2 linked regions of the Astyanax mexicanus genome follow. The protein of the gene in region 1 interacts with the protein of each later gene in a biochemical or structural test. Links are inferred from orthologs where the notes say so. Each region holds a gene or a part of one and is shown on either strand. Other genes may lie near its edges.

Region 1 (11,903 bases):
GGGGACTAAGACAGTTGTCCCACACAATCTGGTTTCCTCATGATAATGCATTCTTTTCAGTCCCAAAAGAGGAGACTGTTCACTCAATGACAGAATTCAGACACTAATACATATTCACGTCGGGTACACACAGCGTCTTTACAAAATGTGCCCGGCTCAATTTAATGATGTCTCAGTTCTGGGTTACTGGAGTTTCAGCTGTATCGTTCTCTGTGAAACAAAGAGGATCTTGTCTCAAGAAAGAACAGGACTGGGTGATATGGAAAAAATATTATATCATGGTATATAAAGACACTATCACAGTAGATGTTATAGTAGACTATACACAGCATACAGACAGCATACACACTGCTGCAACATTACTGTTTCACACTGTTTTGCATGAAACAATCTCAATAAAACATTTTGTTGTTGTTTTAACAAGGAATTGAAGAAGTTTGATAAGAATGAAGAAAATAAGTATAACAAATAAGAAATAAGTCAGAACAAGAAGAGAGAAAAGAGGAAGGTGGATTCAGTTAGCTTAATTTAACTTATATAGGTTTTACAGTTCAAAAAAGAATATCCACAGTCTAACACAATGCTTAACACAAGCATGTTTGCTTCATGACTTAAAATTGAAACAGAAAAGGCAGTCAGTATTTTGTTAAAGTTACCTAGACTAATGTTGCCATCCTAGCCCAGTTTCTGAGGAAGTAGTAAACTGAGTACAGTAATACTGTAATGCTTAACACTGAGTATATACTCACTGAACTAAAAAATGAACTAAAACCTGGTGTTTCCTCACTCCCCCTACTATAATTTTATATAGACCTCTCTCTGAAATGTAATAAGTATTGCGACATGCTACAATACTGTCATACTGCCCACCTCTTGGCCACAGTCAAAATTCTGCACACCAAAAACCAAAGGCTACATACTGTGGCAGAATGGTTAAATTACAGGATAGCAATGTTTAAAATACACGTAGTACTGCATGTGATTGATATTTCTGATCGTTAACCACTCTCTCCTGACAAGGTCTGGCGGAAATGACCAGCATGATCAATAAAGCACTTTCCTGACGTTCACATTTTAATCCATTAAGATTTTTAGAGGCACTGCTGAGAGAAAAAGCCTGGGCTGCAGAAAAGGGCACACAAAAGATGGTATAGAAGTGGTTTGCATATGAAAACAAAAAAGTCTGGAAGTCAATCAAATGTTTTAGAAATATATCCCAAATAATGTTTGCATTAAAAAAGAAGAAAAATAAATAATTTCTCAGTAATGATACAAAATTAATGTAAATTCTGCTATTAGTTGACTTTTTTGTACAGTGTTTCCAAATGGAAACTTATAGCACAGCAGAGGGCTGAACGGTTTTGAGCACAGCAGGTAACCGTTTCAGTGGGTTTTCAACACAAACACTGTTGGGCACGAAATGCTTAGAAACCGTGCTGAGCCGGGTTTCCCCACACAGTTAAACTAAAAACTAAACGTTATCGGGGCCACAAAACAAATACATTAGTTGCCTTCTCAAAAAAAGTTGTTTGACTGATTTGACTGTTTGTTGCATTTATTGACATTGTATAATTATAAATAATATAAATAAAGAAGCGTCTGTACTGGTAAACATGCTACATTGTATTTTATTAAAGTAGCAACTAGGATGGCGTTTCTACACGAAACTGAAAGGTGTCGTCGTAAACATATTTCCCTTTAGTAATTATCTATAGATCTAACCTCCCAGGACTACACAGGACATATTTAGAGTTCAAAAAGTTCACATAAGTTCTGCTGCACCATGTTGACAGTGTGACACACTGGGGCCTACTGTGGCCTAGGAAAGTCCTTCAGAGCTTGAAGCACGAGCTGAGCCTGTCAGTGGAAAAAGGATGTATGGGGACAGACAGAGGACACGTGTGCCGCAGGTATGTGCTGCTAAGCTTGCATCATCAAAAGCTGCCAGGACAGAATATCCCTTTAAAAGCAATCTTACAAGGGCGCGAAAAGACCCATAACAAAGAGATTAAAATTGAAAGAGTGAGAGAGACAGAGAGAGAAAGAGCGAGTCATCTGACAAGCATCATCTGACGACTGTTGACCAATCACAGAGTCCAGAGCAACACGTGACAGCAATGACTTGAGAACAATTTAGAGGTGCCTGTTCTCATATGTGCAATGTCACAGAGGGGGAAGGGAGAGATTAAAACAAGGTCAGAAGCTGAAAGCTTGGGGAGCAGACAAAGGACTTTCCACCACAAACTAGCTTACTAAATCATCAGAGAGAGCCTTATTGGGTCAACGAACCCTCTTGTACGTAACCATTACTTGCGTTCTTGCTCTGAAACTGCTCATTTCCTCACAGGCAGTGCGTGACCTCTATAATGGGCAAACTGCGGAAGAAACTTTCTATTTTAATTAGTTAACTTTCACCCCACCACTTATCACAACATGTAATCATAGCAAGACCGATGAATTCTCTGATCACTGGAGTAGAACTATCTGCACAAGATTTCACTCAGAAATGCCCTTTCCACATTTCTTAACAACCACCAGTGAAGATATGACATGGCTAAGAACTGCATCTTATCATGGTTTGGAATCGAAAGAGTCACGTCAATAGTACAATGTCCCACTCCTTTTTTTTTTTTACTTTGACTTTGTGGGAAAATTGTGGGAATGGAATTAAAGCTGGTTTTACTCTGAGCTGCTTCTGCTGCTGAATCAAGAGCAGTGGAGCATGGAGCGTAACTCACAGTATACAGTCAAGGACTTACACAACAGCCTTCGCTCAAGGGTTAATAATTGTTAGTCCAAAATAACGTCCCTCATGCAAACTCTTACTGGGGTTGGTTCACAAGTTCAAGGAAATGACCTGTGGCTGACAGGGGCACGTACAGAAGCTATCATAAAGACTATAATACAAGCTGAACTATGGACTAGTTTAACTGTATGCTAAGTTGTTCTCTGGCAAACTAAAGACAAAGTTAAGCTCAATATCAAGGTCAAAGTGTGTTTCACTAAACAATATGGAAGACAAAGTCCACAAATGAAACACTGAACCAAAACTGACGTGTCTGTAAATATGTAACTATACCTTTTCTGTTGTGGTCGTACAATTGTTAATGTTCGTGAATTCAAATTTCCATACACCTTTTTGAAATGTGTGAATATTTGCCCAGTTGCAGTAATCAATTTCGATTTTGTCTTAAAGGTTAACATTCATTAAGTAACCTACATCTGTATGTAATATGAACAAAAAAATCTGTTCCTGAAACTACATGCACACATTGACATGTTTAAGCGCACAGCCTAAGTTGTTTTGCTGCATCGCCAGTGTTTTGCCGAATTCTGACTTTGCACCATAATCTGTCTCACCTCAAGCGATGTGCTGTTGTTTGTTTAAAAACAGTTATTTGTGACCAGAAACATCAGGAGTATAAACAGCTGTTTGACACACATGCACAAAAAGGGTAGACAAATTCAGATAGGGAGACAGATTTAAGCACAACACATCAAATTTATGAAGGCTAATCTGACTCTTCACATTTATGTTTCATACCCATCGATACATATTCAAACTACTACCGAAAATGAAACTAAAACACAAAGAACATGGCACCTCAAAAAGGCTCAGTTTTAATCACTGAGGAAACAAAGTAAGGCAACGTTTAAAACCTGCAGCAGCTTAATGTACTGGACTATAATCCCAGCATTCAAAGTATTCTACACACCAAAAGGGAATTGTGACATTAAAATAACACCACATAAGATACCTTGCCAAGATCCAGAAGATTATCTGAACTGTGAACTAACAGCTATCATATGATCAGAGTCCCATGTACACTGCATGCTGATTAACTAACTGTGATGTAAGACATAAAGCACTTTGAGCTTCAGCACTAACGAGCTACAGGGGCCAAGGAGATGGAAGAGGCAGCAACACTTACCAAGTTTCTCAACAAGCTTCAGCATTACTCCGCCAATATGAATTTCTCCAGTGACTCTCAAAGACACATCCTTATTGAGGTCAGTCACATGCATCTTCAGTTCCCAAGTCCCATCGGCATAGCAGCCATCGGGCATCCGTATACCGTCCAGCGCCATCCTGTAAAACATCAGTGCAATCAGTGTTTCATCTACAAACTATGCCCTCATTCTTTCATTTCTTTCAGTCCCATCAGGCATAAGAACAAAATTATTTATACGTAAGATGGCGACTTTACACAAGAAAAAAACCTTTATATTAAAGTCAGTGAAAATAATGATATTTCTGAGATTCTGACAAAATGTAAAGATCTACTTGTGGAAAAAAGTACAAAAGAAAAGCTCACCATCCATTTGTTGTTGTGTTGGTCATAATGATTAAACTGCTTTTCTCACACCACTTAATTTTAAAACGTTTGGCCAATTTAGCTTTAATAAGCAGATAACCATTTAAGCACAATACATTTGATGTAAACTACAGTTTTATATGACAATATGACAGTTTTATATGAGTAGGGCTGGGCAGTATGACCAAGATAAACTACCTACTTTTCTGTATTCAACTTTTATTTTTAGAACAGGTATGGGTAGGCCCGAATTTACAATACAATATGATACTATTGTCATGTTAAGACCATTTAAATGCCACTGATATAATGATACTAAAATAGCATAACAAAGCAGCCAAGACCTCTTAAAGAAATTTTTTTTAAACATATTTCGGGAAAACAGTATTTCCAGTATATCAGTTGTCCTAAATGCATACAACAATAATATTGTTTAGCACATATTTCTGGTACAATAGGCTATATCAAGCAAAAATAGTTATCTGACAGGTCTATATCACGCAATCATACAATTATCTCCAAAACAGAAACAAAAAAAACCTTCTTAACTGTCAATGGAAGTCAATGTAAAACGAGTTTATTTCAGGTAAGTTAACTTTGGAGAATTTATATTGTACCATTCACAATTTACAACACAAATTTAACAATATAGTAAGAATATAAACAGCCAAATATACTTCTGGGTGTGCCATACCGTATTGTATGCAATAACATCGCAAACATTTTTGAATATCGTGAACGATATTATATCCTGAAATATCGTGCCATTTCACCCACCCCTAGTTATAGTAGGATACTACTATTTTGCTGTTTTTAAGCATTTATTTAAAATAATAAATCACACTGTTCTCATTTTCCATTATAACGCTAACGTTATATCTACAGTAGATAGATTAACGTTATATCTGTATCACCTATAACTATAGTTACACATTTTTATTTATGACCAAATTGTAAGCCTAGATGTTTTGGTATGGTATGGGATTGTGTAATAAACAAAATACCATAAAAGACAATAACCAAAGATAGTTTTGAATCATGCCATAGATGAATTTGGTACAGCCTTTTATTTTGTAGTTTTTAAAACTAGGTTCATATCATCCACAGTTCTAGTTCAACACTCCTGTAACTGTTACCAGCTAGAGTTAACTTAATGCTGTAACTTAAGAGTCTCGCTGCCTTGGCTTTTGTTTGAATACGAGGAACCCACCAGTAAATCTAGGCAGCTAGTCTGACCGTACAGCTGGTGTAAACGGGGTATGGAGGCTCGGGTTAAATAAAGAAAAGTGTTAAATGTGAGGCGGGCCTGTTCACCTGCGAGGCCTGCAGATCTGTAGAACTAACGGTAAAGCTGGACTGGCGGAGTCGGAGGATTGCGTAAGTAGCTCCACACTCACTCCCTCAGTCCCTCAACTCCTCATAAAACTCCTCAGACTAACGGACACCGCGGGTTTGACTATATTCCCGCGACAGAAACCACACTAAAAGTGCTTTTAAAGTTATATTTTACTCAATAAAACCGCAAACACCGAGAAATTAGTCTAAAATACACTCGCGCGGACGGGTTATAGCGACCCGCGTTTTCAAATTAACGAAAGATTTAACGTAAAAATAACGTTCACTCGCTCACTCACCTTCACCAGCACACGCTAAACCAAATCCACAAGTGCCACTTCAGCTCCAAACGCTGCGAAAACTCAACACCTCTTCGTTTCTTTCCTTTATTTCTTCCTTTTGTTTGAGCTGAAACGTGTTTTAACTCATTGAGGAGATTTCCAAAAGGACTGGTCCAAATAAAGTCCCTCAAAACTAGCTGGACCTCCTCAGGGCTTTAGCTAGCTAGCTAATGGTGTCCAGTGGCCGTCTCCCTCTCTCTCTCACTCACTCACTCTCTCACCCGGGCGCTCTCTCTCTCCTCTCTCTCTCTTCCCTCCCTCACTCCCTCTCTCCACCAGATAACGTCACTCCGTGCTCCAATCCCACTTTTCCTTTCTATCGCAGCCTCGCGCCGCCCTCCTCGCGCACTACCCCTCGCCCCCTTCCTCACTTCAGCATCTTCCTGTAGTCCAGCAGGGCGGTCTGCTCTGAGGGCAGCACTGATTTATTACACTGATGCTGCCTTCAGGCCCATCTAATGATCTGACTTAATGAAAATAAGTTTGTTTTGCTTTATATACAGCGCTGGACAAAAAAGAGCCCACTTAAAAGTTTCTTTTATATTTTGATATACATGATATTTTGTGTGCTTATTAAATAATATACAGCTCAGGAAAAAAGAGACCATTTTAGTTTCTGAATCAGTTTCTCTTATTTTGTTATTTATAGGCATATAGGTATGTTTGAGTAAAATTAAGTTGTTTTATTCTATAAACTACGGACATTTCTCCCAAATTCCAAATAAAATATTTTCATTTAGAGCATTTATTTGCAGAAAATGAGAAATGGAAATAACAAACAATGCAGAGCTTTCAGACCTCAAATAATGCAAATAAAACAAGTTCATATTCATAAAGATTTAAGAGTTTAGAAATTATTTTTTGGTGGAGTAACCCTCATTTTTAATCACAGTTTTCATGCATATTGGCATATTCCCCTCCACCTGTCTTTCACACTGCTTTTGGATGACTTTATGGCACTCTTGGTGCAAAAATTCAAGCAGTTCATCTTGGTTTGCTGGCTTATGATCATTCATCTTCCTCTTGATTATATTCCAGAGGTTTTTAATAAAATAAAATCAAAGAAACTCATAATTTTAAGTGATCTCTTAATTTTTCAAGAGCTGTATATGTTAAAAGTGAAGTTAAATGTAATTTTGTATAAATGTTTTTTGCAACTTTTTACTGTTTATCTACTAAAAAGTTAGCATCAGAGCTCTGATTTCTTCTATATGTTTTCGTATGTTTCTATGTTTGTAGATGTTCACTGCTTTTGATGTGTTTTCTGATATGTTGGACTTGGTAAAACATAGGCTGTGACGTTTGAAGCTTTTGACCTGGTTTAGCTTTACATAGTAATAATAATGTACATTATTCATCTTATAAGAGTCCCATAGAAATACAGAAATACAATTTTTTGTTGTTTTAAGCCTGTCTAGAAGGTAAATGTCCTGTTCTTATATATCATGGTAGAAATAGGATTTAAAATGTGACCCCACATTTGCCAATATTATACTGGTAAACTATATGGGTTTGTTTTTGTTATACTACACAGTTATCGAATTCACCAAATGCTCTAAAACAAGCCCAAGTGAACAGATAATAAAATACTAGAGCCGTCTGAAGGGTCATTTATTGACCAGTATAACTGACTGCCTTTTATGGAAATAATACTAATGTTGCCCTACTACATCCAAGGGGAGTACAACATTGCTCTTTTTGGGGATTTACACACAATTAATCATCTGAAATACAGCCCAGTGAAAGAGTTACACTGGAATAGCATGACTGGAGTGTATTTAATGGAGCCTTTTAATTCTTATTAGAAACAAAATAGAACCTTTTTATTCATAAAACTGCATTGTATACATCTTGTCACAGTGGTCCAATACATTTACAGAAAAAATATTTAATGTATCAACTTAACAATGTATTATACTAAAACCTTTAAACTATTAAACAATGCAGTTTAAACATTGATGTACACAGCATTGTCTGGGTAACAGATTTTAATTCAGTAATCTAAATGCACTCAAAGCAGACTGTAAATCAGTCAAAACCTCTGCCATCACAATAAACCATTAAATATATTATGAGAAAGTTTCAATAAAATACATCTTTAAAAAAACATAGAATAAAATAGAACTGAACAAAATAGAACAGAATAGAACAGAAGAGTGAAGTGATGGATGGCTGTGCTGCTGTTTGCTCCTCTCTCCTCAGCGCTGGACTACATTAGCAGGCCTTCTCAGATGGGACAGTGCAGCATGAATCATCGGGGCGTTTGGCTGCTCCACTGCACGACCTGCTTCAGCTCAAGAATGCAGGCAGAAGCCTTGGACTGCATCAAAGCGATTTATAACCTCTCTCCCTGCTGCTCTGACCCCCTCCACAGCGTCTGGCAACACAGCCATTGCCTTTTATAGGCCGTGTTTTAATTACGGTGTAAACAGTGAGTGAGAGTGAAATGGGGGCTTGTGGATGGGGAGAGGCCTGCAGGAGAAGGCCAAAGAGTCAGCCTTTGAGTCACACTGGAGTGGAGAAAAGTACCTCATAGAGGAACGCTGAGGTCACACGCAGACAGCCTGTCACTCAACCTAAAATAATGGAGTTTAGCTGGTTTCACTGAAGTCAAAAAAATAAATCACTTTGGTTAATGTAAAATTAAAAACGTCACTCAAAACACAAAATTTTAAACCATTTGAAACTAAAACAAATGTAATTCCAATTCTTTCATATTTAAAACTGGCATGATTAGTATAGGAAATACAGTACTACCTGTTGCACATATTATCCTTCTAATATTACAATTCTTAAATCCTTTATAACAACCAAAAAGACCCATAAAGCTGCCAAGAGAATGTTAACAGTGAGGTATTAGTATTGCATAGTGAATCCATTTACAACTATAACTTCATACAGAAATAAAATGAAGCAGTTCAGATTTGGGCTGGGCTAATGGAAAATTCAGCACTAGTACTTATTAGGAGAGGCACAGAAAAACATGGAGCAGTTTGCCATCTGCTGGCCAGAGCCTTGAGGTGGCCTTCACTCTTCACTGACTAATAAACCCAGGCTCATGTTTACTCTGGACAGAGTCTAGACTGCAGCTCTGCTTACAGTTTCAGTTCTGTGACTCTACGAACATCGACATGATGAGCAACACTAATGTAATTTGCACCCCTACCCCATGAACTTTAGCTCTCGGTCACAGGAACTGTTAAAAGACATTGTGTTAAAGGCCTCTGTTAGCAGCTCTCAGCATGTGGCAGCTGGACATGTCAAACATCCTGTAAAGAGGGGGTTAAACACCCTCCCTATGCTGTCTGAGACTGTAAGATGTTTTCCTTTTTGAAGGATTTTGGACAAGATATACCAAATGCAATAAACATGAATGTAAATGTAATGCACTAAACAATTTTCTAGCTGTACTATAATGCTAGGTCAAGTTCAAATTTAGCAAGATGAGCTATGAAGCTATAAAATATTAGAAATGCAAAGGCAAACAAAAGTGATATAGAAAATACAAACTATTACAATACTTTAGGCTATTTGCCTTAATGATTTTCATATGCTATGTTTTATTGAGGTGTGAAATGCTGGAGCAGAAAAAAGTTGTTGCTTTCTACGTAAAATGTTCTCTTTATAGTGAAATATGCAACTAGTGAGTGTTGTGAAATGTATTGTAACAATTTATAAAATACTGATAAACATTAATTTTCTCACCCCCCTACAGGCTTGTATATAACCATAACACTATGCAAAGGGTACTAAAAGGTTAGGATTTACCTTTATTTCCAATGTGCCCTAAAATCTTTTGGTACAGTTCAATAATTAGATTTTGGAACATGGAAGTAAAATATTGTGAACCACATACACTGTTGTGTCCATTCCCCAAAGGAAGCATAACCAATAACCAAAACAGCTACTGAATAGGGTGGCTTTTAGTCAATTTTCAATTTTTTTTTTTTTTTATACTTGCAGCACACCACCATACGCCAACAGTTTCTACACAAACCCGAACTCCAGGCCACAGCTGTCCTCATGCTAGTGTCTGCCAGTAACTCAAACATGGCAAGTGAGGAAGCTAAAAATCTCAGGCTATGAGCAGGTACACATGCTAGGCTATGTCTATAGCCAGACAGCTTTTTACCATCTCTGCTTTCATTGAAAACAAACTGGACAAACTTACATCAGACTTACCACCACAACCATGCCAAAGTAGGCAACATTTGTTGTAAATGCATTATATGAATACAATTGAATTGAAATAAATTGAACTTGCATTAGAAGGAGAAGCATGCAATTGCTAGACAAGTGCCAGGCTAAAAGCTAATCAAGCTCCAATCTCTTCAAAATCTATTGAACAAAGAGGGCACAGTAAGGTGAAGACGATGCTCAGAGAACAGTAACACTGTCTGGTAGTAGGAATTAGGGATTTGTTTTGTTAGTGTTTAAAAAAAAAAAAAAAAAAAAAAAGGTCCTGTGAGCCGATGTTGCAGAAGTATCATTTTGGTGCTGTTAAAACCACCATACGCCCAACCATATATATATATATATATTTATAACATTTTAAAATACTAAAAACATGTCTTATATGGCACCTTTAGACACACATTAAGCATGACAATAGGATGGTGCTTTGTATCATGCCAACACGTCCATTTATCTCTCCTACTTTTGATAGTGGTGGATGGACTGCAGTCCTGAGATCAGCTTTTTTTAATCAGCTTTGTGAGGTTCTGCCAAAAACCCGTACAGTTGATCATTTGTATTCTTGACACTAATGGCCAGTAGCTTCAGGAAGCTCGATCGATCTATCCATAGTCCAAAGCGCTATAGTATAAGAAACAACAAACAAGGCGCCATGCCTCATATGGCAAATTACAGGCAGTGGTGGGTGTTTAATTCACTGGCTTTTATTATCAAGAAATTAGCACAGGAGGACTGCCTGGGCAGCCTCAGTTTAGACAGTCTTCAAAATATTTTGAAAGAATCTCTCACTGTGGAATTCTGCTCATCCCACACACATTTCAACACCGCTCACATTGTTCAGGCGACGCTACTCTATTTATAATCTCTGCCGATGTGATAAATTGTGGTTCATGTAAAGGACAACAGTGCAGCTGTATGCAGAAAAAGCAGAAGCCTTGATATTCCAAAAAAAGTAATGCTTTAATAAACTGAAATAAATACAGTGTTATTCGGATGGCAGTTTGAATCCATTACAGGCATGGGTTATTGCACAGCTCTCATTTTCAAGCTCAATGCCACAATTACATTTAAATAACAGTCGCTAAGGGACACCTTCTGTGTTTCTGGTTAATCTATAACCAGATGTGGAGGATACCTGCTGGACTCTTTGACTGAATTTTACAGAAAAGTGTGAAGAACACAATGTTATTGACAATACTACACCTAAGAGATAAGCCAATGACAAACAAACATGATCCTTCAACATGCGATGCCCAAGAAGAAGGGTTAAGGGTTTATATATATATATATTATATATATATATATTATATATATATAAAAAAAAAAAAACATTATCATTGGGACAGTATGGGAAAACCTGTTTACATTTACTTTGATTTAATGTTATTGCAGACCGTATAAACCCAAGGTATTTCTTTTTTTGTTCAAATTTGTGTATATATAATGGGATGGAAGCCATTTAGGGTTAGTGTTGAGGTTTGAAAAAAAAAATATATACTAAAACTAACAGATGATGCCACCTAGACTAGAACTGTCATTGAATAACAGCTGATGGCAAACCAAAGTACAAAATAAAATATGGCTCTACATTCACAAATGCATCTTAAAACACCACAGTGCAAAACAGAAGTCTTGTGTTAATCATGACCAAAAGCTGCATTGACTTCTCTGGGCATCTAGGACGGACAGAATTCCGAATCTCTTTTGAAAGAAATGG
Region 2 (11,903 bases), on another chromosome or scaffold:
GCAAATAAAATCAAAGTATGATATAAGATGTAAGAAATACTGCCTGATTTTACACTTTCTATACTGTGCAAACATTTTCTGATTTGGGGTGGTAGCTTCAAATGATCTGGAGTCATTACTGTGATAGACAAGATGAAACAGTGTTATTACTATGGGTGTAACGGTATGCAAAAATCACGGTTCGGTTCGTACCTCGGTTTTGGGGTCACGGTTCGGTTCATTTTCGGTACAGTATGGGAACAAAATGCAGAACCAACCAGCGTGTTGTTTATTTAACCAAAAAATTGCCAATAAACAAACTGAAACAGTTAATACATTCAAAGTGCTGCTTGGTACTATTATAAATTGAATTAAATATTCTCAAATGATTAACCAATGATAAAATTTTAAATATTAAAATTAAAATAATAAATTCCAGAATTCATGTGTTACAGTATTCAATTTTACTCAATCTTCATATTTTTTGCCAAGAAAATCAGTTTGTCTATATTGTCAGCAGTGAGAGCAGATACACCTTTAGCATGTGCTTAAAACCAGCATCCTCAACAACTGAATACGGTCTAGGATCCGATGCTATAAAAGCCCCAATGGACGCTGTAATGGCTTTAGCCCGATCTGAATTGTGAATGAAACGCAGATATCAGTGGCGTTTGCATCTTCTTTTATTGTCGCGGTATCTTAGCACTTGGGTGGCGCTGTCTCAGGTGACTTAGCATGTTTGAAGTGTTGCCCGAAACATACGACCTCAGCAAAACAATAACGACATACCGCTTTCGTTTTATCCACTTGTCTTTATCCGTCGCAGGTTTTCACTGGGAAACCGAAGAGCTCCCAATTGGGAGATTTTAAGGACAGGGGAGGATTTTCTATCTCCAGTTGGTCGCTAGCTTCTGCCATAATGTCCAAATACTCTCCACCATTCTCTGATACAACAGACGCGTGTACCTCGCAAATGTGTTTTGAAGCGTGGTTAGGAAAGGCTTGACTGATTGGTTCGCCGCGCGACATCACCCCCACATGGTCACAAGAGAACGAATCACGAAAGAGTTGCTTTGAACATATCAAATAACCTCCCCTTTACTACTCCAATCACGTACTGGCATCTAATGAATATGAAATAGCCACATGTAGCAACAGGCACAGACCTAGTGTAGAACATATAAACTGACTGTATTCGTTCGGTACAGCACTGTACCGTACCGAAGGTCTGTTCGGTACGGTTCGGTACGAATACATTATACCGTTACAGGCCTAGTTATTACTAAAAACAATTCTAAAGCGTAAATCAAGCTGAATGAGCTAGGCTGAACTTTGTTAAGCAGTAAGTATTAAACAGTACACTGAAAGCAAAACACACATGCTAGTCTGTGTCTGGACAGAAATCAACCACAGCAGCATAGGGCAGCTGTTTTGAGTAGTTCAGACCTTATATAATAGAGGATGTGAGAGAAGACTGTGCTATTTTCAGCCACTTGTAATCACACATACAGTGACTCTACTTAAGGTGGAGCCATTACGTTATTTACAGTACATTTCACCATGTCAGCCTCCAGTGCTGCTCAGTATGCAGTCACAGGCCAAACACATGTAGGTTGTAATCAAACCTCAGAGAGGAAAAATGGAAAACCACAAAATGCTTTGCTAATTCATCCAACAACCACAAATGACAACCAATTATGAGAAAAGTAGGTATAGGCAAAGCTCTGTACCATTTAAACAAATCTGAACTTCACTGCTTTACTCTAACAAGCTTAATTAGGGTTGCAGACCACCAGACGCCTTTTTTTTGCTTGGGAAACCTTTTGAGCCCTGTATTTCCACAGATAAGAGGAGCCAATAAAAGCTATGTCTGATACAGTATATTAGTCAAGTCCATTTCCCTAACTGAAAACTGCTATGGTCATAAATGAGGCAACTGTGTGTTTGCCATTTCCTGTCCCCTCCCACAACAACTCTGGGTCGTGACATCTAGATGCCTGCACCAGCACAACAAGCTATAGAAGGAGAACTGCACATTATACTGCACATTAGAAGAGGTCCTCAGGGCCAAGCTCTGTGAAGAGGTCCAAAACAGCATAATTAGGAGGTAGCGCTACACTTGAGCGAGTGAACAGCAGTGGAAACCAAAACCTTGGCTAAAGCATTAATTTTGGAAAAAGGAAAACACTGGAGAGGAGCGAGAGAGGATGGGAGAGAATATAAGAGAGAGTAAAGGCACTTTTCCAGAATCAGATTTTTTTAAGTATGGAGAAAAAAGTGCAGCAAGTAAAAAATAAAAAATATATTAAATTATGTTTTTCATACAAAAAACTTCCAATGCTGAGTATTTATTTTTTTATTAGAACCTCTTCATTTTTTTGTGTTGACTAATCTCCATTGTGCCTGGATGCAACATTAATCATCCACATTTAAAGTGCGGTGGAACTCCTTTACTCACTACAACTACAATGATGAGCTCAGTAGAAACATAAACTATAAGGGCTGTTTATCTAGTGATACAAAAAACCTGCTGTACTTCTGGTCATAATTAAGTTCAGTCTTCAACGCATAATTAAGTTCAGTCTTCAACGCAATTTTGTGTGGTTAATAACTTTATCTCTGATGTGCTGGTGTGCCAGTAGCTACTCAATGCACATGTACTCTTGAGAGGGGTATCTTGTTAGCCTTACTCTCTTTACTTCACAAAATGTGAGTGTGCGAGTTTTAGTCTGGGTCAAAAATGGCAAAAAATAAAAAATATAAATAAATAAAAACACACTAGACCGAACAAGAAAGGACAGGTTGAGCTTGCATCTGCAGTAAGAAGTAAAAACACTGGCTTTCAATCAGTGTCTGCAGCCAGCTTCAATGTAACATCTAGAGATTAAACAATAAACAACTGAAACATCATGTGACTGAGAAGCCCCCTATAAACATTGATGTTGATCGATCCTTTAATTTCTACTGCAGAAAAAAAAAAAGAGTACGGAATGTAGAAAATAAACAAAGAAACTGAAAGAGTGTAAATGAACGAGTGCCCAAATACACAACTTTTAATGTCTTTTTAAATTTTGTTCTTATTTACTCCCTAGGACAGGGATTTTTATATTTATTGCCTCAGGGTTAGATTAGATTACGCAGCAAGATTACACAGGAATCGTGCTAAAGCAGTGATTCTCAAAGTTTTCAGCAGCCCCCCCAAGCACCCAAAAAGTTGGCTGCTTTTTTCTGCTCAACAAATATATCATGCAGTAGAGGGTTTTGGCTTTAAGGGCACAAGAAAGAGAAAATGACAGAATGGACTGGTAAGGCTCAAGTCAGCATGCTCTGGTTAGTGAGCTCATAGTATGGAAACTATTTGTCCCTGCCATTCCTGCACAGTCCAGCTACTCCTCCCCCTCCCTGCTCTGACGCTGCTCTGAGTATAGTGCGCAAGAGAGGCTACACATAATGCGACACATCCCTTATGTTAGTCACACTGTAAAACACATACGGACAGATTCCTGTGAACACAGTAAGTCTGGTCTGGATCAAAGAGGTCTCTCCATTTCAGAAGCTTTCTCAGCACACAGACAGTAGCAGCCTGGCTGCTTAGCTTCATAGTGACTTGCACAGTTTGAAATGTGCAGGAAATGCCAAGATAAAAATCTACATCGGACGTGACGATTCTCTAACCCCCTCACGTGTCTGTGCCCCTACCCTGAGGAGTAGTAGTTTCTCAGGCGCTGCTTGCTGTGAGCGTGCCATTGCCTGTGATCCGCTGATCAGACAGCGTATGCGCTCCGGCATGTTAACACTCCCCACTGGGAGTGTTAACCACACACTGCTTTCCTGCAGTAAAGAGCTTAATTAAAAGCAGAGGGATGGGTTTAGATCAGAATGACAAAAAAAAAGTGGTTGTGATTGGGCTCATTAGACTCATCAAGCTTAAACATCACGCTCACAAATCTCTGACAAAACGATGATCAAATATGAACTGAACTTTGAACTGAATAGATGAGCGTGACTAAAATGATTAATCCACCTGTTTGAAAGCAACCACAGTCATTCTGCCGCACCAGCTGTCTGGAAAACATTACCAGAATGCAGAAAAGACTGAAAGCCAAGGCTGCTATGAGCAAGAGTTTGGCAGGGGGGAGGTATTCCAAGACACACAAGAGTCGTGGATCAACGCTGCGTATTCTCTGTACCATATAGGGATATGATTTCAATTCTCTTCTCCAGCACGTGCAGAGCCTTTTCTATTAGGTCACCTTCTGAAAGTGGCCTTTGTTGCCCCTTAAGAAGCCAATAATGCTCTCATAATGTCAATAACATCACTATTGGGAATTTCACTGTGTCTGAAGAATCCAGGCAGGTTCTTAAACTTGCGGACAGTAAATTTCATCGGAAATGTGTGTGAATGTGAGGCAGTGAGAAAAAGTAAAGAGTATATTTATAGTATATATTTATATTTTAAGAATGTTTATGGACATCATGAGGCATCATATACAACCATTCAACCCTATTCCTTATCACAAGGTGGGGTTATGTGGTACACACTTTCTACACACTCTACCTTCAGACCTCCTTACAAAGCCACTCCCCAAACCGCAGGAACATGCAGAGCTCATGAGCGCATACGAGAGATGTACAGGACATTTAGGGAAAAAAATTTAAAAGAACCCAGCAGCTTAAAATCCTCTCAAAACATGAACCACATTTTATAGCAGATCTTCTTGATACCAAATTTTGTAGGAAACTAAAGAACAAAATATTTACATATATGTAGACCTAACCCACACTGGAAACAGGAGACATCACACCTGACATCATTCCAAACTGAGGCTATTATGTCTTAATCTGTTGAGTTAAACAACACTGCTCAACCTCAATCCCTCACAATCAGATAAAACAACACTGAAAAAAGCCTGACATGAACAGACCAAGTCAAAAAAAAAGGGAGCAGCCTTCCGGAAAGATTAAAACCTGAGATAACAGTAAGAGTCAGAGGTACGCTGAAGAACTAAGGAAGGTTTCAGTTCAAAGAGGAAATACTGTCAAGATTAGTGTTGTGATTATGCAGGCTCTTAAGAACCCATTCATTACCTCAAAAATAAGCGATGACTGTATTTTGTCATAATTGTGACTCTTCACTTCAATTCCTGATAGCTGGTCAGCAGCGTTTAAGCTATAATTCATTTTTGCAGATATTTAGTGCATTCAGGAGTCAACTCACCCCTGGTTTAGGTCATTCTCAGTGTTGTCCAGCCAGAGGCGGACTGCTACGGCATTGCCCTCTCTGCACTGGGTGAAGATATCATCCATTGCAGCTCCCCCTCACTCTTCGTACTGGTAGAATCCTTCTTCCCCTACCAGGAGCGCCCTGGGAGAGGGGTGTGATGCAGTGGTACCTAGATGCCACAAGTGAAGGGCAGTGGACCATTCAGTTACGGTGCAGGCCGTCTGGAAAGGGGGAAAAGAGACTGTTAGCATAGGATACAATGGGAATATATGGCATACACTATGACTATATAATTGACATCTTAAGCACAGCCAAACATTTTTTTTTCTAATCTGTTTAGTAGAAAAGGTTGAATGACCCAGAAGTTACTGCCCCTCAGGGCTTTTAGGGTCAAGAGAACTTTAAAAATAGCTTGCTGTCCATCCAACAACTTTTAAAGTAGGAAAGCTTGGAAATCTGTTAAACACAAACATCTGACTGTATGGTCCACGGTACAGTTTTTTTTTTTCCTATAATAAACCTCAGCTCCCAGCCAATATCACTAGCCTTTCCCAAACACACATACTCATCCCTTAAGGAGTCAAAATTAGTTTCTTAATTTGAAAACTTATATTGCAAATCTCTCACACAGACTAGGGCTGTGTATTGGTAAGCACCTGATAATATGATACTGATTGTGATACAGGGGATACGATACTACATATACTGCAAAATACTGCCATACAAATGTTTAAATCAAAATTGGAAAGGAAATAAAAAACATAAAATCATATTTACTGATACTAAATACAAGAAAAGTTTACTTTTTATCAAATAAGAACACTGGGATGTATTATTGGGATGTTAATCCAATTCATTTGATTAATTAAATTACTTTTTTATAATATCACCCAGTTCTAGTGGGATCTAATGAGTGCAGCTGCTATATAGTGTTTTTTTTTTTTGTTGTTGTTGAAAACAAAATATCATGATACAATGCATTATCAATATTTTCTTACATCCCTAACACACACACACTCTCGAGTGTGTAAAGAAGACCTGCTATTCCTTAAGGAGTGCATGACTTTTCCTTGCTTTGGGACGCTCACATTCCAACACACACACATACACACATACATACACACATACATACACACACACACACACACACACACACACACACACACACACACACACACACTCTCTCTCTCTCTCTCTCTCTCTCTCTCTCGGCATCACCCCTGCTCTCTAACCTATGTGCCAATGACCGTGTAAAGAAGACCTGCCATTCCTTATTTTAAGGAATCCAAAACTTGCTTTGGGAAGCTCACATTCCAACACACACACACACACACACACACACACACACACACACACGTCTTGGCATTACTCCTGCTGTTCTACCTGTGTGCCAAGGACTGTGTAAAGACCTGCCAGTGCTCATAAACATACATTTAGCCATTTAACTCTATATGACACCAACTAACTGCAACTAACTGCACCAACTAATTAAGTTACAGACTACAGTCCAGCAGAAAACAGCTAGAAAACATTACATTCGAGTAATAAGAGACTAATAATACTTCAGAAACATGTTTTAAAGGGTGTGGACCTGAAAGTAAACAGTTTAAGCACTTTTCTGATTTAATCACACAATAAAACACTGCCTAGACATTCAGTCAGTTAGGATAACCTAGCTAACTAACAGCTATGTGTTCACTCAGGACTGGTGACGTTTTCAAAGCCAGAAAGCAGCTAGTAGTTAAAAAGAGGAGAAAACAGCAGACACAAGCCCTTTTATGGTATTTAACAAGCAAATAGTACAACCTAAATGTAATAAAATTACACTTCTTTCAATTAAAGTGTATCTTTTAATGAAAATAGCACGTTTTCCCTCACTTTACCTACTTTAGAAGAATAAACTGAGACAGCATTAGCGTTTTCACTCAGCTAGCAGACAGTTAGCTAAGCTAGTTAGCCTCTATACGCTAAGCTAGCTGGGTTAGGGTGTTAGCTAGCGAGCTAGCACCGTAAACAGGCAACTGCGGGCGGAGAGCTCACCACACCACCGTGAAACCGCCGTAAACGCTCGTATAAAATAAAATAAAAACACGGGTTTTACCTGGTAAAACTGTAATTTAGTCCGGGACGAAGCTCCAGGGATGGTAAGGGCAGTCTGACGGACACTAATGTCCACACCCTAGTCGGAGGTTGTAGGTCCTCCTCTCTCTGTGGAGGGAAGAGCTCCCTGCAGAAATCACGGTTTCATCGCCCTCTGTTGGAAACCAGCTCACAACCTGCCCTCCAGTCATATATTTTACACAGTGCCCTGGAGAAATGATTTTTTACAGTAAAGGAAATCATTATTTGATCCCTTGCTTCATTTAGTAAGTTTGCCCACTGAGAAAGAGATGAACAGTCTATATAGGGGACATTCCAGGATTTTGGTACATTTCCTGTCCCACCACTTAAATTTAAATTTACATTTCCAAAATATCTAAATGACTATTTTGTGACAAATGTACTTGTTATAAGACAAACTGTAAAATATGGTGGAAAAATAAGCTCCTTAGATATTATTCAAAAGACCGAATACCTTTGGACCACCTCAAAAAAAATGGCCGTTATCTCTTGTCCCACAGATTGGGTGACCAACTCCTTTGGCAAATTTAACAATTAAAATAAGCTCTAAATAAATGACTTCCTCTTGTATATTGTTGATATGCATCTCCTTTACTTATGAAAACAACTTCTTTGGTATAGTTTTTATGCTATTAAGTTGTGTCCCACAACATGCGCTCAACCCTGTTACCATAAGGAATTTTACCTGGCAGAGAAAGAGTTAAAAATATTTGTCTACTGGCACAAAGGAAGTGACATCACAAGGACAGTTGTGTGTGTCACCCAGTGAACGCAACCCTGTTACTCATATTGTAAGACTAATAGTGAGTAGAGTCAAAATTTACTTTATATACTTATATAACCATGTTTGTCCTTGATCTTCTATACATAGAAGATGTATGCTCCTCAGACAGACTCCGAAAGTCTTTTGTCCCTCAGGCCATAAGACTCCTCCCAGCACAGCAAACTAAAGACTCTGTGACACTTTTTCACCCTGGCAACTCATGGACACACCCTCAGCTATGGAGACACTCTCAGATTTGCTGATGCCTATAACACTATTTTTATAGTTCTACCCTATTTTGCACTAGTAGTTCATTCACTAGTTTATCCATCTACTGTCATCTACTATCTCTTTTGCACTGCTGAATTTAAATCATTATATAACTGTTTATTTGCACTTTCTGTATGGCTGACATCAGTTATCCTCACTTTATGCACATCAACTGGTGTTCACTGTCTATTGTTCAACTGCACTACCTCCATTCTACATTACAGACACACTAAAGACTGCATTTTTACATTGTACATTCTATTTTTTTATTTGACTGTATTTATATGTATCTTTATCTTTTATATATTTTATTTTGTAACTTTGTGTATTCAATTTGTAACTTTGTGTCTGCTGCTGGATGTCTAGAATTTCCCCTCGGGGATCAATAAAGTATCTATCTATCTATCTATCTATCTATCTATCTATCTATCTATCTATCTATCTATCTATCTATCTATCTATCTATCTATCTATCTATCTATCTATCTATCTATCTATCTATCTATCTATCTATCTATCTATCTATCTATCTATCTATCTATCTATCTATCGCTATATTTTACAGTTAGCATCTGTTCCTGGGGTAAACCACAACTTAGCCTAGCTTTGCAACCCTGTTACTCTAAGTTACCAAATATATTGCATAATCTAATTAAAAAAAACTGCTTTGATACCTGAGCTTGACAAATCAAACTTTTTGATAGCCTATTACCTGTATTTAATAAATATATGACTAAAAATGATCAAATTGAAGATCAAATTTTCACAAGTGACCACCTGACCACCCTGAAATGTACCAAAATCCTGGAACGTCCCATATCTTATTTAAGGGTAGGTAAGTTTTATCAGTAAGAGATGGAATATCAAAAATAAAATCTAGAAAATCACAAAGGATATAAATTATATACATTTATATAACTTCCGTTTATTTATACATCGTTAAAATGTGGTTGACATATGGTTGAAGTAATATCGTTAAAACAACATTTAATGTTAAATGGTTCGATCGTTTTCTACTTGTAGCAATAAAAGCTTTTTTGTTTGTAGTTGTACAGTTCCTACTTTTCAGAGATGTATATTCAGTATATAGAGAGACTAAAAATAAAATTGTTAATTTTTCTTCATGGCATACAGATTTTTTCTTCTTTCATACAATTTTAAGCGCCCCAAATGTGAGCTATGGTTAATTAAAGGTTGAACGTACGACATTGAAACAATGTTGGCATATTAAGAGGTGAGATTTTACATGGAGCCCCAGATCGATGTCGATTGACATCTACATTTGACTTAATATTTTATTGGGTCAATGCATTTTGTAATTATCAGTGCAAGCTTGTGAATATAGTCCGAACATTCTGACTTGAGAAAAGGTATTATAGTATTGTGTGGCCTCTGTAGGAAACTTTTTCTTGATCTCATTAGAGCATTTGAAATACTGATTAATGGCAGGCTGTAAAGAGTTTAAAAAAATGTTTAACATTTAATAAAATCTTGGTTGACCTAGAGTTTCAGACATGAATGGTTGCATTTCTACTATGAAGGAGGATTTCTACTTCATGTCCTTCTGCAACATTTCTGCTAGATTAAGGTCAGGTCTATTCCAATAGCTTTCTGGCTTGTTAATGTGAGCTTTAGCAAACTCCACACAGGCAGCAACATTCTTTTTGGATTCATGATCATTAACATTAGTCAACGTGAGAAAGGCCTTTAGTTGCTTAGAAGTTACCCAGCGTTCATTTGTGACCACACAGACTGTTACACTCCTTGTTTTTGGTGCGTTATTTGCTGGTTGATCACTCCTGGGGACGGAAATAACAATTGTCTTAAATATCTCCCATTTGTACACATTCTGTCTGCCTGTGGATTGGTGGAGCCTAAACTATTAGGAACACCAACTAATCTTTGACTCAATTGTTCTCGTTACCCATTTGGTTCTTGTTATTCTTTTTTTTTTATTTCAGGTTACATTTATGCAGATATTTAGAAAAAATGTTTCAAGCACTATTGTAACTGAATGGTACCTTACATTTCTATGCAAGTTGTTTTTATCCAGCAGTCATGACAATGACTAGCAGTGTTTTTTTTTCATAACCCTTGCTGTGCAACAGCCATTCTATTATTCCACATTCTGTTTATTATATTAGTTAACAAAATGATATAAAATTATATTTATAATTTATATTTATAATGATATAAAATCATGTTCCAAAATACCTTTACCAAGAAACAAAGAAAAGGTTACAACAAAAATTGTAAAAAAAAAAAAAAAGCACACAATGTAGTAACAGACATTTTAATAATTTATTCATTTTTCTTGAATGCATTTGAAAAATGCATGTTTTTACAGTCTTTACTTTGTATTGGCAACACAGTAAAAGGCTGCATCTTCTATTTTATCATACCGAAGATGAAGCTATTTTTTAAGCTAATTTTGCTAAATTACAGGAACACTGAAAGTTCAAACCGAAAGCAAAATTAATGGCAGTCAGAGTCATACAAGTGGCTGCCTGAACTGCTTCTACACTTTTAAAAACAGGTGTTTCTATACATTTTTGAGTCATTCCAGAGAAGAACCATGATTGTAACAGATGTGAGTGGGAAAGTTCTTTAGACTTTAATTATTTATATTATTAGGACTGCCCAAAGTTACTTTGGGACCAATAAAGTATCCAACCATCTCTATATTTTACACACAGTCTGCCACATCTCTCTAACCTAATGTTGAGAAATCTGGTACTTCTATATGTGTAGCTCAATAAATATGACCAAGAGTTTGCATCAATCTACATTAATAATTTATTGTTCCTAATAACCTGTATTTCTTTTAAATAGCATTGTAATCGGACACTTTCTTTAGGTACAATTGTTTTTATTAAGATGAGTATAATTTGCTTAGAAGTACATGATAAGATCTGTATTTTCTTTTCAAATTCTTCAATGTTTTAAAACAAAACACATCTCTAAACAATGAATCTATAGTCATGATGAACCTGTACCTGTGGATGTGCTGCTGCTGTCTAGTGTGATCTGCTTTAGAGCCAACTTGTCTATCTGGATGCCTGGCGCTATATTTGAATTTATAGAAGAACTAGTTCCCTCTGAAGATCCCAGAGTTGTTGGTTCTGTAACAAGCGATGGAACCAATGACACATTTTCAGTTTGCAGTCCTAAAGAGGGAATGGTAGTGGCTGTGCCACCGGTAGCTGGTGCTGGGACTGATGACAGATCACTTAGCATTGGCTCAGCAGCTAATGGTGGAAATGATACTGATGCAGCAGGCGTTTCTGCCGTCATCACATGTTCAGCAGAGAGCGCGGCTGAAGCTGGACCCGTTGTCGCTAAACCTCCAGCCAGCGGCTCCGCTGGTGTTCTAGCTGCCTCCTCCATTTTAGCTGCTTCTGCAGCCTTGCTCTCCATCTCCTCCATCCGTCGCTGCACCATCGCCGGCATCAGCTTCACGTAGGTGCCCATGAGGCGATGATTGGAGCGGATTAATTTGCTAGCACAGTTGTCTACACAGCGCTCCTGAAAATCAGAACAACTTGT

What was found.
Region 2: the proteins of fermt2 (region 1) and ilk form a complex in vitro, tested with the Homo sapiens proteins (2 studies listed by BioGRID). The link is inferred for Astyanax mexicanus from reciprocal best matches to the Homo sapiens genes FERMT2 and ILK.

Annotation. Positions count from the first base shown.
Region 1 is NC_064421.1:15,588,934-15,600,836, forward strand, and holds the start of fermt2 (fermitin family homolog 2), read right to left. Parts: upstream 6,242-11,903; 5' UTR 5,951-6,241; intron 4,091-5,950; 5' UTR 4,090-4,090; coding exon 3,933-4,089; intron 1-3,932. UniProt on the Homo sapiens protein: Scaffolding protein that enhances integrin activation mediated by TLN1 and/or TLN2, but activates integrins only weakly by itself. Binds to membranes enriched in phosphoinositides.
Region 2 is NC_064427.1:35,776,992-35,788,894, forward strand, and holds the start of ilk (integrin-linked protein kinase), read right to left. Parts: upstream 7,433-11,903; 5' UTR 7,305-7,432; intron 5,425-7,304; 5' UTR 5,287-5,424; coding exon 5,198-5,286; intron 1-5,197. Other genes in the region: timm10b (mitochondrial import inner membrane translocase subunit Tim10 B), read right to left, coding at 11,337-11,882. UniProt on the Homo sapiens protein: Scaffold protein which mediates protein-protein interactions during a range of cellular events including focal adhesion assembly, cell adhesion and cell migration.